Linked DNA regions of Oryzias latipes. The protein of the gene in region 2 binds, or shares a complex with, the protein of the main gene of each other region. Links are inferred from orthologs where the notes say so. Each region holds a gene or a part of one and is shown on either strand. Other genes may lie near its edges.

What was found. Proteins that work in one complex are often made in the same cells at the same time.
Region 1: the proteins of rnaseh2a (region 2) and rnaseh2c are in contact, whole or in part, in a crystal structure (PDB 3PUF), measured with the Homo sapiens proteins. The link is inferred for Oryzias latipes from reciprocal best matches to the Homo sapiens genes RNASEH2A and RNASEH2C. Residues at the interface, in NP_006388.2 of Homo sapiens: Thr11, Asn99, Ser102, Thr103, Leu106, Gly107, Arg108, Val109, Val196, Glu197, Lys198, Leu199, Glu225, Pro226, Val227, Phe228, Gly229, Phe230, Pro231, Gln232, Phe236, Leu245, Ala249, Glu250, Asp251, Val252, Ile253, Trp254, Glu255, Asp256; in NP_115569.2 of Homo sapiens: Pro33, Cys34, Glu35, Val36, Ala37, Val38, Ala42, Pro43, Val44, Gly45, Arg46, Phe47, Phe48, Pro50, Ala51, Arg53, Ser62, Phe63, Arg64, Gly65, Arg66, Cys67, Leu68, Leu134, Glu135, Thr136, Lys143, Gly146, Ala147, Thr149.

What each region holds. Positions count from the first base shown.
Region 1 is NC_019868.2:12,026,745-12,030,806, reverse strand, and holds rnaseh2c (ribonuclease H2 subunit C), read right to left. Parts: upstream 2,810-4,062; 5' UTR 2,696-2,809; intron 1,727-2,695; coding exon 1,573-1,726; intron 1,291-1,572; coding exon 1,178-1,290; intron 1,046-1,177; coding exon 926-1,045; intron 564-925; coding exon 540-563; 3' UTR 326-539; downstream 1-325.
Region 2 is NC_019859.2:10,611,028-10,614,476, forward strand, and holds the end of rnaseh2a (ribonuclease H2 subunit A), read right to left. Parts: intron 2,711-3,449; coding exon 2,573-2,710; intron 2,042-2,572; coding exon 1,954-2,041; intron 1,849-1,953; coding exon 1,725-1,848; intron 763-1,724; coding exon 606-762; 3' UTR 509-605; downstream 1-508. UniProt on the Homo sapiens protein: Catalytic subunit of RNase HII, an endonuclease that specifically degrades the RNA of RNA:DNA hybrids. Participates in DNA replication, possibly by mediating the removal of lagging-strand Okazaki fragment RNA primers during DNA replication.

The DNA.
Region 1 (4,062 bases), on a different chromosome or scaffold from region 2:
TGGAATTTCTTTTTACTAAATTCCAAATAGTTCCTTCATAATGACTCCCCTCATGGTTTACATGTATCCAGGCTGTTTCTTTTTCTTTCAATTTTTGTTCTCAAACTTTTTGACAGAACCACAGTGTCAATAGTTTCCATGTTGTAGGCTTCGTTCTGTGAAATGTGTCAAGTCAAAGCCAATCATTTTTCATCTTATAGGACTTTGTGTTTATGACACAATGTTACAGTAATGCTTTCATGGCTACCAGTGTTATCTTGTGAATAAACGCCGTCCAGTTAAACATGTAAAAGTTAGTTGTGTTACAGAGGATCAAACATTTCACTTTTGCAAGTCTTTACGTTTTTTATTTATGTACAAACAAACACAAACCTCATTCAGGTATCATTTCGTTAACACTGCTCTATGTAACTGATCGCTCTGCCATAGCAGAGCGTTTTATAAGGTTGGTGGTTGAAAAACATGTGGGATAAAAGGTGCATTTCACATGTCAATATGACATTTGTCTGCCGGCCCATTAAAATAGTATTTCCATCACGTCACTCGTCTATTGGCTCGTGTATCTGGAAAAAAGACAAAGAATCAGCAAATGCAAGTGATCCTCCAGTTGGACAGAAAATGAGAAACAAAAAAACATGAGTTAAATTTGATATATTTACTAAAATGATTACATTTTATTTAAAATGTTAATGTTTGCTAAATATATTTGTGTACTCATGATTGAAGTCTAAAGCAGCATGTGTGCCCTAGAAGATATTTACAGAAAAACTCGCTGGGACTGATTTTGAGCATAAAAAAAGAGGAAAACTAAAAAAACATTTCACTAGAATGCATTTTCTTTAGTTTGTTTTTGATCACAGTGATTTATTGTAAGGAGCAGATTGGTATAACTATAGATTTGAGGTCAACTGCGACATGTTCTTACCGCCTCAGCAAGTTCCGGCCAATCCATGGCCATCACCACAGTGTCATCAGAGGTTGGAGGATTGTCCAGATTCCAGTAGGTCAGTTTATCAAACACAGAGGAGACTCTAACTATCCTGTCCTGAGAGATACAAAGTCATTGAAGCATCAGAATCGTTAGACCTATGCTTCATGCCACAGCATGAAAAAACATTTTTCAGCTTGTGACAGTATTCCTTTTTTAGTTCTGAAACATGTCATGGGAGGTGCTTACCTCCTGGTCAGAGCCAGGCTTGTTGGTGTCTTTAAGTACCAGGCCTGTGTATCCTGCTGGACAGCAGATCTCCTGACCTTTCAGCCCGCGTCCTCTGAATGAGACGGCCTTGACTGTTATAAGAAAGTCCATTATATTTACAATGCTAAATGCAGCTATTTACGGTATTTGCTGTTTTAAAATCCCACAATCACTCATTGTAAAAAATACATAAAAATCAGAAAACAATATTGCGCAAGATAGTTTTCTGCAAACCAGTAAAAATTGCTACTGGACATAATTTTGGTGTCATTTCTCTTTGTTTTGCAATCCTGTCGTGGCTTTGCTAGTGCCCCTTACTTCAGGAGTGTTTACAGGTCTTAGAGGTTTTAGATTTCAGACAAAATTCCAAGTACCTCCTTTGTGATCTTTCATGGTTGCAGTAAAGTACTGTGAGACCTGGGCAGGCCCATTGTGTTCAATCTCACAAGGGAGGAGATGGACCGGGACTCGCTCTGCCTGTCCCACAGGAGACACGTGGAGATGAGTGACGCTGGAGTGACAGGACATCTTGCAGCAACGTAACAAGAAAGAAAAAAAGACATATTTATGCATCCACTCAAAATACCTTTATTAGTAACCTTTACCTTCTTTTTCTACAATCATTAACAATTACACGGGCATCTATTTAAAAGCTATAAGCTTTGAAAATATTATCACATTAAAATAAACTTGCCACAGCAAGTCGTAGTTAATGTTATACCGCCTTATTTGTTTACATTTCTGCTACATTTTTTTTTTAATTATTGTTTTTATATTATACCATTTTCTCATATGTTTACTGCTACAGTAACACACAAATTTCCCCGGTGTGGGATAAATTATGTACTTCTGATTCTAAGAGGGTAGTTTAATGTCAGATTTTGCAGGGTTTTTATATCATTTCACTTTATTTCCTTCATTATGACTTATTTTATCTCTAATGAATAGTGTCTGCTTAGTCAAGTACCATTTGCATTTTTAAAACATAAATAATTAAAAATTATTTAATGAATGAAATTAATTTACATAAAGAAATGATCAATCAAGATGCACCTCTTCTTGTACAGTATCTATAACCTCCTAATTAGCTGATAAAATCCTGGTAAATTGCTCTAAAAATTTAATTCATTAAGATTTAGAGTATTATTTGATGTATTTAAAGCCTTTACAACCATTTTGCCTTAATTTAAGACCATAGTTGTTTTACCTTATTTCGACCATTAAGTTCATACTTATTAAGTATATATTTAATTATTACGGGAAAATATGATATACGCACTTAAATTTAGCAGTAAAAAAATGCGCGTGCTCTTAAATTAAATATGTGTGAAGCAGTGTTTTTGGAGAAGTGTGTTTGAACCTTTGTGTCTAAAGCTTTTCACCAATACATTTAATCGAACAGTATTCGACGCTCCTGCAGTTAAACGCTTTTAATAACAGTGACTGTTTGCAGCATTTAATCCGGAGTGGACAAAGAAACGATAAGATTACCAGTACCTTTATGGCGACTGTATTGCATATAAGAGTGTGACATGAAAAGTTGATCTTCCGGGTAGGTTTAGGGAGCCGTTCGTGATTGGACGGTGAATGTCACTTCTTCTACGCTGAATTCTGTTTTGGCGGGTTTTTTCTCCTTTGCGAACAGATGTCTCCCCCTGGTGGTTACTGTTCTGCTCTACTTCAGCTGTTTTGTTTTAATGCTTTGCCTCGTGTTTTCGCCTTCAGACTTGATATTTGAATTCATTCATATCAAACGTTCAATAATTTGCGTGTTTAATATCTTATATAACATAAAACTGTTGTTTAAAACTATTCTGACTTATTTCCAAGGCCTTTAATTTAAGTTTGAAAAATCAATAAAATCTGTTTCATTGTATTCTTTTTGGTGTATTTTCTTACGACTAGTTTAACTGGCATGCAGAACTATAAAAACATACAATTAAATACTCAAATTAATAGAAAAATGTCATTTAGGAGTTTGAAAAATCTAAACATCACAAATATTGTGTTCTATTTTAAAATATTGGAGCCATCCAGTCATACAGTTTTGAGCCAGACGCCAGTTCAGACAAGGAAAACAAAGACGTATGTGTATCAAGTTGTTTACAAATGGATCCATCAGAAAGGAGCAGAGCAGGGAGCCAGTGACCTGCCAAGTGTAGCTTTTACATTCCAACTAGAAGTTTTCCAATGGTAATTTTTGTCTGATCCTGATGCGCAAAAAATTAAATAAGACAACTCAGAAATGTAATTTTGAGCTTAGATTTCTTTATTAATGTATTCTTTAATGAGAGATTTGCTACAAGACCATTTAATTGAAGCAAAGTTTACTCAACTATTAGATGGGGAGAAGGGAAAATCCATGTTTGCTGCTAGAATTTTCCTTTTTTGACTCTTCAGCTGTAAAATGTCCACCTGATCACAAAGACGTTTGAACATAAAACACTTACACGGATGCTCTGGTGGTTCATAAATGAAAAGGAAAGTATACAATGATGAACTTCTCTGAGATGTTTAATAAAAAAAATGTTATTGGTTGATTTGTTGATTAGATTGGATGATTATCAGTACCTGTTTTGTCCTGACAGGGTCATGGGCCCCTGGAGCCTATTCCAGCCACCATGGGATGAAGACAACCAGGTCAGCTTACCAGTCTTTTACACATGCCCTTAAAAAGACCAAAAAAAACAAAAACTCACTGCTCAAATCTACACAGGAACATTTCATATAGACACGTTTTTTTATAAATAAAATTTAAATATCTCTTTTCTGGAAATGTATTTCTGGCAATCACACAACACAGCTTTCTGTCACAGCTACTGGAACCAAAAATGGATAATTGTGGAAGAAAAGGTTCAGATGAC
Region 2 (3,449 bases):
TTTTTGTAAGAACATTAGCATCAGGATTGTTTTTTTTTATTAGTAAAATGCAGTATTTGTTATGTCGTGTGTAAAGTGTCTTCAAGGAACAAAAGCCTGCGGACACCGAAGGAGATGAAGATCCATCTCAACTAGACTGTTCTGACATCTGGATGATGGTCGCTTTTGGCCGTTTTGGGACTAAAAGTGATGCAGTTGAAGGTTTTTTTTTTTTATGCTATGCAGTAAAAACCATCAGACCTTATACTCCTTTTGTGTCATTATAGCTGAGGAGTTTTCTAAACCAAAAGGAGAAAAAAACAAACTTTTACCTCTAAGTGTTGAGGAATTGGAAAATTTGTTTGTGTGGCTGTAGAAACCAGGGTGTTTTTCTTTTAATTAAATGTAAAAATTGTCAGCTACAAAGCCTGTTTTTAGTGTTAAGCTTCTCCTGAGTCGATTTTACATTTTCTTAGGGGGACAGATGTGGAATTAAAACTACCAACCTTTGCTGTGAAGCTGTTTTTTGTTCAAAAATTTCTGGGATGCATTTGTTGTTCCAAGTTGTGAACAATTTATTGCAAAAAAGAAGGGAGAAAAAAAAAGGGAAACTAGTCACAGTGCGTTTAGAGACTGCTCAGGCCCCTCAGCCTCCTGTCGGTGAAGAAACGGTGCGTTTGGCGGCTTTGGTCGTCACTTCCAGCTGATGCGCTGAAGAACGACAGCATGGACTTGTTGTTCAGCCGCTTGGCCGCCTTCTCCCCGTCCTCTTCATCGTCATCCCTGAGGACGGAATCAACAAGGTCATCAGTCACACGGAGGTTAGACCCTGAGCTCACATGAGCTTCAGACATCGGGAGTGAGCTTTTTACACACTGGTTTGAAGCAGCGGTCCCCCTGGGCCGGTACCAGTCTGTGAGACAGTTGGGACCACGTCACAGAAAAAAAACAACCACACCCTATTTTTTTTTCCTGTCTCATTTATAATCCGATTCTGATGTTAGTTTTGTTTCGGGAAAAACTCCTCACGCCATCCGACTGGCTCTTGACACGTCAAGTTGCTCGGTCACGTGTCTCAAAGCGACCGCATCGACTGCTAAATTGAAACCCTCAAGTTAGCAAAGTTATAAAAAAATTAAGGTATTTAGAACGTTTCTTTTTGCAGAAAAGAGCCAGTGAGGAAACAGAAGCTGGATTCAACAGACAAAAATCAGGCGTCTTTACTCCAAATATGGATTTATTGCAACAGTTGTTCCCAAAAACCATAATAATACTATCAAATGTTACGAGGACGGTGATAATAAAGATGGATTCACGTTTCTAATTATATCTATTAAATATCCGTGTTTTTGACCACTTTTGTATTCAAAGGCTGAAGTTGGTGTTGAATTTTTTTTATCTTACCTTATGTGTTCAGCCATGTGTTTAAGAAAATCTAAATCACGTTTTAATGGTTCCTACATGAAATCTAGTGTAAAAATACAGCTGTGGATATTTTAGAGAGGAAGAAGACAAACTTTACCCTTAAAGGTCAAAGGAAACGTCGACGTCAGCCTGGTACAGACTGTACCGTGAAAATATTGTCTGACATTAGATAGGTCAGACAAATAGGTTAGAGACCACTCCCTTAGAGTGCATTTAAATGCACACGTTTAATCATTTCAATCAGGTTGATCATTTCTAGAAGCTTCTGGTCGACTTGAAAGACCTGAGAACAAAAAGGCCAAAGGTGAGGAGGAGTTTACCAGTGAACCGTCACAGCCTTGCTATCCAGCAGAGTTTGGGCTGTACTCCAGCTGAATCGCACAAACTGCGGATACCCGAACACGGGGTCCAGGTACTTCAGCAGCCACGCTTTGGTCTTTGGGTCTGAATAGACAGGACACAGGAAATCTCAAAACCAGATTATCAATTCTTTCTATTTTTCATGCTGATTTAAAAAAAAAAAAGGCCTGTGACCCGCATTGCTGTTACCGTTAGGATATCCAGACCCATAATCTGCATCCACGTCTCCTAAATCTTCTGCAAACTTCCAGCCTTTTACAACGCGGTCCCTGGCAACCTGACCATTTTTTGGTGACAAAATAGCAATTTTTTTAAATCGAATCAGACCGGACATTAAAGCAGAAACAAACACACTGAAAATAATTAAGAAGTGAAAAAGTTTCATCTGGATAAAACATTTTAAGCTCAACTGATCCAGCAAATTGAGAATCTGAAATTTTAAAGCTCTGCTTCTCATCCTGGATTTAGTGAAAGTAAAGACCATCCAGAAACTTCTTGCAGGAGAAAATACAATCTTTTAACAAAAACAAGGTTGTGATCAGCATCTAAAATGTATTCTGAACCCTCAGGAACTATCATGTAAACTGGAAGAAATGGAAAAAGTTTAGCCTAAACCTATAAACCTTTCACACATGTGGTCATCTTTTAAATAACCAAAAATCTGACAGACAAAAGCGGTTTTGTCATTTTGCTTCAAGTTGACATTTTAAAAGTGTGTTTGAAATCAAAATGATGAATTTCTGTACGTTTGTTTCAAATTTGACTTCAAACAGGTAGATGCGACACACAAGATTAATCGACCTTTCACCTTTGCACAGATACTGGCCGCACTGACGACGGGGAAGAGGGAGTCGGCTTTTGGTCTAACGGTGACCTCAATACCAGGAAACCGCTGTGAAAGTTTCTCCTCGTACTTCTCTGCCGGACCAACTGTGTCCACGTAGATCTGCAGACCGGACAAGACAGAGGAGGGGTGGAGCAAGTGAGGGTGGAGAAGAAGAAGAGTGACTGGAAGCACATCTACCACAAAATAAGTGACAATGTCGCAAAAGAAAAAAACCAAACCTGACAAAAACACAAAGCGTAAGTGCTTTAAAGTGGGGCTGGGTTGATAAAATCGAGATAAATAAATTAATAATTGATCCCTAAACGTAGAAATCGATCTTTTATGCCTTTCCTTTTGTGAAAACCCATAGTCTGCTTGCTTGATGCTAACATATGATGGAATTTCCCATAGGACAGCTAATAGCTAACAGCTGTATAAACTCACAGGCAGGAATTTTTCAAACTCTTTAAACTTAAACCTTTTTTAAGTAACTATTTGCGGTCTAATGCAGTTTTTTGCTGCAATTTTCAAAAATAAAGTGTAACGGTGGCGAAACGGAAACACCCTCCAGAAGAGGCAGAACATTCATTTTTGCAATGAGCCAATTTAGGGCCTTTACAAGGTTATTGATCTGCATATTTTTGTTGAAGCTTATCCTGTTTACAATTTTACAGTATGTGAACTATGTCAGATTGATATGAATATCTTCAAAACATATACAGATTATTGTTGTATAGCCCTACTTTAAACACAGACTCCGATGAAAATGGTGTTCTTTACATGTTCTTGTAGCATTTTTTTCTGACGAGGACATGTATAAAGAAATTTGAGCTCCAGATTGTTCTTCTGTATCTAAATT